Kluyveromyces lactis: one gene and its partner. The protein of the gene in region 2 purifies or fractionates together with the protein of the main gene of each other region. This does not show direct contact. Links are inferred from orthologs where the notes say so. Each region holds a gene or a part of one and is shown on either strand. Other genes may lie near its edges.

Evidence for each region.
Region 1: the proteins of NUC1 (region 2) and KLLA0_C14300g purify together in Saccharomyces cerevisiae (affinity purification with mass spectrometry; 4 studies listed by BioGRID, with this or other methods). This does not show direct contact. The link is inferred for Kluyveromyces lactis from reciprocal best matches to the Saccharomyces cerevisiae genes NUC1 and YMR099C.

Annotation. Positions count from the first base shown.
Region 1 is NC_006039.1:1,241,790-1,244,646, reverse strand, and holds KLLA0_C14300g (glucose-6-phosphate 1-epimerase), read right to left. Parts: upstream 1,696-2,857; coding exon 805-1,695; downstream 1-804. Other genes in the region: Hsp90 cochaperone SBA1, read left to right, coding at 100-654; serine/threonine protein kinase PRR1, read right to left, coding at 2,032-2,857. UniProt on the Saccharomyces cerevisiae protein: Catalyzes the interconversion between the alpha and beta anomers from at least three hexose 6-phosphate sugars (Glc6P, Gal6P, and Man6P).
Region 2 is NC_006040.1:38,746-42,052, forward strand, and holds NUC1 (ribonuclease), read right to left. Parts: upstream 1,545-3,307; coding exon 546-1,544; downstream 1-545. Other genes in the region: PEX2 (ubiquitin-protein ligase peroxin 2), read left to right, coding at 1-493; deoxyribodipyrimidine photo-lyase PHR1, read left to right, coding at 2,670-3,307. UniProt on the Saccharomyces cerevisiae protein: This enzyme has both RNase and DNase activity.

The DNA of each region.
Region 1 (2,857 bases), on a different chromosome or scaffold from region 2:
ATATTGCGTTCACATACAAACTGTTACTCAAACAAAGAGAGTACAATTGGAACAAATTACACTTAAACCGCCAATTACCAATCAATAAATCAAATTAACATGTCAGTTCACACTCCAGAAGTTTTATGGGCTCAACGTTCAAGCGAATCCGATGATACCAAGAACAATTTGTTCATTACCATCAATATTCCAGACTGTACGAACCCTAAAATGGAATTAACCGAAAATTCTTTGGAATTCAGTGCACTATCTAAGTATCACAGTAAAGATGGGATCAAATACCATTTGCACATTGACTTCTACAAGCCAATTGATACGGAAAACTCGGAGCAGAGGGTAGCTAACGGTAGAAACTACTTTTTGGTGTTAAGGAAGAAAGATTTAGGCCTTGAATACTGGCCCAGATTGACCAAGGAGAAGCTTAAGTATCATTACATTAAAACCGACTTTGATAAATGGGTTGACGAAGATGAACAAGAAGAGAATGTTGCTGCTGATAACGACTTGATGTCACAATTTGGCCAAATGGGGGGCGCTGGCTTCCCTGGAATGGAACAAGGTTTCAATCCACAAGCCTTCGCTGACGCCGGAATCAACCTGGATGAGGCATTACCAGAAGAAGATGATGAAGATGACGAAGAAAAAGCTGAATAGGTATGATCGGATGGTCTGCAAAGGCGATTTCTATCAAGATTTAATTCATTTATTTGCTGTATACAGTCATGCGCATATATAGGTGTATAAATACGAACAAAAATTTCTATTATATATTATGATATTGAGCGGCTTTGAATAAAAAGCTATTTAGACCTTTTGGAACTTCAATTCATCTTTATACAAAATCTGGGAGGCAACCCAGTTTTCGCCTGGTGCCAAAACCACGAAATCATGAACATGACCTGGTTCGACACACACCATATTTTTAAACCCATCCTTTGGTTCAAAATCTGCCATACCTTTAGATTTTTCCACCCACGGATTCCAAACGACAGTATCTGGTAGGTTGTGTCTTTTCAAGGTATGGATTGGGTACCCCTTATCGATCACTTGGATGATTCTGTCTTCGTCAACATTTTGATAAATTCTATCTAATTCTTCATGCACAGAAATCACAGGTTGTCTGTCAATATAGCTTTCCTTCAATAGTTGATCGTACAATTTGGTGCTGCTCAAATTAGAAACCAACGTATCTTCAATGTCATCAATTTTCAAGTAAGTATGGAATAACCAATTGAACTTCAAATTTTGCGTAGTGCTTGTATTTAGTACCTCAATTTCAGTTTTCAAGTATTCATCACCAAGTTCTACTGATAGCACCAAAGAGTATTCAAATGGCCACAAGTTGGTTAGCTCTTCATTAGCAAACTCAGGTCCCAAGCCTAACTGAATGGTTGGAGGGTTAGACTTCACTTGGCCCAAAAATTCCCATACGGAATTTCTTGCTAAACCGTGTTGTGGTAATTTACTTAGATGTTCATCATCATGGTTCTTACCAAAAACTGGAAAAACTAATGGAATACCACCACGAACCGGTTTGGAACCATCGAGCTTAGCAGCAGTAGATAACCATAATTGCTCTTCACCTTTTAATTCCCAGGAAAATACCGTGGCACCATACTTTAGAATTCTTGCTTTTGTTGATGAATTGTTAGGATGTGTCAGGATGATTTCAGTTTCAGTTTCCTCGATAGGCATAGTTGTTATGTAGTTTTGATTGTCAATAGTAGCACCAATTACTGATCCTAGCTTCTAGTAGTCTTCTTATTTTCCTTTCTTCTTTTATCAATTTCATCAGTGAGCGTACTGTAACGAGATTAAATTTCGTATTCAAGTTAATTCTTGGATTTTTAAGGTAACAACATTACCTACATAACAACGTTAACAATAAATGAAAGACAAGCTGGCACGCAGAATGCAATAATTGAAGATCCTAGAAGGTATACTTTTAATGAATGTTCGTTGAGTAGAATATCAGGTTTCATTAGATTTTAATGTATGTTGGTTGTGTATATAAATGCTGATCTATATAATTTATCCTTGATGGTCTAAAAACTGTAATTTATCAATAATGTTACGAATATAGGGTGTGTTGCAAAGTTGATCCATGTTCCAACGTTCGCTTTTTCTTACGAGTGTGTTCTGGACTATCTCTTTGGCAGGATGATCGGTGTCTGCATTCTTTAGCCATTTCCAGTCGCATCTTGCAATTCTATGGGCAATGGATCGGGTTCTTCTTGAACTCTGACCAGGTAAGGGGTCAAACGGCAACCTATCTTCCAACAATGCATAAGTAATTACTCCAAAGGCCCAAGCATCGCTGATTCTTCCATCATACGGAAGTCCTAAGAGAATTTCAGGAGAAACATAGTCCTCTGACCCGCAACGGGTTGTACACATTTCATCTGGGGTTATCTTCTTACAGAGACCAAAATCTGCTAACTCTACGAAATTCTTTGAAAAGAACTGGCTCTCGTCCTCTTTTAATAACATCATATCATCTAGAGTATACTTTAATAAGACGTTCTCAAGTTTAATATCCCGATGAATGATAAAATTATCATGCAAATATTTTATGGCAACGGATAATTCTGTGATAATTCTGGTGAGTAGCCAGTTTGGAATTTTAGTTTTGCTAGCCAAATCGAACAAATCACCACCAGTGCAATATGACATTATCATATCACATCTGGGTAAAGCAGAGAGCTTACGCCTTCCGTACAATGGATGTTCATCTGTAATAAACGTGGTATCATTGATTGCAAAGAGTTTCACGATACATGGATGGTGCACAGAAATTAGAGTGGTCAGTTCCCGCTTCAAAGAACTTACAACTCGACTCAATAATTCTTTGTATTTC
Region 2 (3,307 bases):
TCGGTTTGAAAGGACCAATTTGGTTTACGAACTTTTAGATTTGATCCATCTTTTACAATTTTTAACGTCGGGTACAGGTGGTCCCTCTCTTTTGCATCGATTGTTCCGAGTCCCTGCAGTGTTCCAACCGGGATTCTCGTATTCTGATACTACTTCAGGATCATCAGCATCTGAGGTTCAGATGCTCTGGAATGCTTCCATTGAGATGATAGCTGGTCTATCGTTATTTAAAAACGGATTCGTTTCTGTGACAAGTACTAACGCAGCTGCGGTGGCAGCTGCAAAGGCTATTGCCGGTGGTAGTTCTTCAGTTGGGGCCCCTGGTGAGAAGTTTTCGCAAAAGAATACTTTATGCCCTGTTTGTGGTGAGGTCGCTACAAATGCATTTACAATCACTTGCTGCAATACAAGGTATTGCTACACTTGTGCGTTGGAAGTGGAACAGTCACATTGCCTAGTTTGTAATACTAAGAACCCAAAATTCTTTTGCTAAAGTGTTTATTATACCCTATATATTCACACCTAGGCCAAATCTATATACGTTATTACTTCCCAGGCAATGCTAAAACAGTATTATTAAACTCTCTTACAGTTATTTCGCACCGCACTTGTTTACACAACTCCTTCTTCTTCTCCTTTGGAACATTCTGCAACAGCTGCAGGCCGGAACTCCTTTCTAATGCATTGACGGGTACTTCAAACTCTATTAATGTTGTAGAGTTCGAAATAGGAGCATTTGGTAAGACAAATGCGGCAACGTGCAGCTCATCATCACGACCATTTCCAAGCTGCTTAGGTCTTTCAGCCACGACCAACTTGAAAAAATGCGTTGGGACTGCAATGTTAGGTGGATTTCCAATCATCTCGTATGTGACTTTGAACTTACCGTCTTTGGGGTCTCGCTTCGGCAAGTATAAGGGACCTGTCATAATTCGAACACTGTTGTATTTATCGACTAATTGTCTGCAGAAATACTCCAAATGTGCCCAGTAATCTCTATTGAAACCTTCACCCACTTGAGGGCACATATTAGTCAAATAGAAAGTATCGTCCATTGCCTGTTGGGAGAACTTCGCGTTCGCCGCAGGGGCTTGATGTCCTCTATCGTAACCGGATCTGAAATAATCCTTTAGTCGACCGCGGAACATCTCTGGAATCTGCTCGTCTTCCTTGAATATAGAGTTCTTCCTATCAGCACCCTTTGTCTTTAAGGATTCTGGTGTAATGTGCTCAAGTACCCAGTATGGGTTCCTTGTTCTCCTATCATAGCACGAGATGAACTCTTGTCTTGTTTCCAGATCATGAATTGGCCCAGGGAATCCGTACTTGAAGAATGCACCAGGATCAACGTTACTTCCAACTAACGAGACGCGACCAGCTTGGTTTGAGGAACTGGGATCTGATGGAATGTTATTGCTACTACCAGTGGATCCCGGGAATGAGGTACCAGAGTTTCCGCCAGATAGTGCACTAGATTTCCCCCAAAAGTACGACACGGTACCAACACCGACTAACGCACTAAAAGCGTTTCTTGAAAAGCTCATGGCCGGTCTATTTCCTCAGCACCAAGCGATTCAAATTACTTGACAATTAAATGATATTCTGGTGATTGCAGCTTCTGGGATGACACTCTTGTATTATTTTAGGCTGGAATGCATTACGAGAATTTTTTTTTTTTTTTTTTCACTCCGGACAGTATAATGAATAAGGGCTTAGGTCAACAATAAGTGCATGAGTTGAATATTTAGTAGCGTTTGCTAGTAGTAATGCTGCAGTAGTGCTACAGCATCACAGAATCGAGGACATCCTAGTCCTAAATAGAAGATATTTTTGTCACAGCGTCTATAGCAATGAAAGTTGTGAGCCTTATGATTGTTTTCTTGAACAAAAACCACGGATGTCATAACGATTACTATGAACATCGTACATGCTAACTGCGGCGGAAACCTATATATTACCAGTTCGAATAATAGGGCGGGTTTCTGAAAAATATTGAACCATTGAAATGGTATTTGGATTTGTCCATGTTTCGATGTTCCTTTCTGTTCATCTTAGGAAGACACAGCACGTTATCTTAGCTTCAGCATTGGGTGGAAATCGCAAGGAACCACAAACGCCCAGTTAGGTATGTATATACATTTATATGTCAGGACTACACGTTCTAAAGCAACCACTTTTGACTTGTCATTCTTGCTCATTTCCGTAGTATTTTTGCTATCAATCTTCCGACATACAAAAGAGCATGGCAAAACGGTATAGAAAACCTTAAAAGTGAGTATCTATGCCATCAGACAAAAATATTCCAATGAAACAGAACGAAGGGCGCCCCATTCCATACTTGTCATTTATTGTAAGACCAATATTTGATCAGTAGTGGAGATTGCAATCCAATTCAATACCAGTCCTGTGTGTGAGTGATTCCTTTGAAGAAAGAACAATTTACTTAAAGACCGTTCGAAACGCCGTGCTTCTCCAATATCATAAAGGAATATTATAAGACATACTGCACCAACGGTGAAATTTTCAAGACTCCGATATCAGTAATTCGAATTTTTTGTCAAGGAAGTTAAAGCTGAATAGAGGCGTGCAATTGCTTCTGATTACTACTGATTTTGAGGTTGCTACTTATTCTTAAGGCAAGGCTAATAAAAGTGGGACATAAGAAAACTATGCGGGTTGGCAACAGTAATTCTATAAAAAAAAACGTCTCCGAGTGTCTCAGTCCGAACCCTGTTTACTATCGTAATCCTATCACCTTCAAAAAAGCGAATGAGTTTAATAATGGGAAAAGGGAAAGACCTCTAGCGTTGTTGGGGGACTCTATCCATGCTGACAGCAAAAATTCAAGGCAACAGCTGGATGATACGGTTGATAACAGGCTAGTGATCCATTGGTTTAGGGGTGATTTACGTGTCCGTGATAATACAGGATTAGCGTACGCGTTGAACCAGTCAAAGAGTGGTTCTGTTGAGGCACTATACGTAATCAACGAGCACGATTGGATCGCCCATATGGAAAGCGGATGGAAATTGAAGTTCCAGCTCGATGCATTAAGGTCATTGAGTCGAGAACTTGCCAAACTTGGGGTTAGACTTCATGTGAAATACTTCATACCCGAATCACCGTGTTTGTCCAACTCTCGTGAATATGCACAATGGTTTAGCCATATCATCGAAGAGATTGCTGCTAGCAAAAACTATGATGGTAATTCGAAGGACGATACCAAAGATGATACTGATGCTGACGAGCCAGCTCTTAAGAAAAGAAAAAAGGATAATGATGAGAATCAAAAAGGTGGATCACCCAA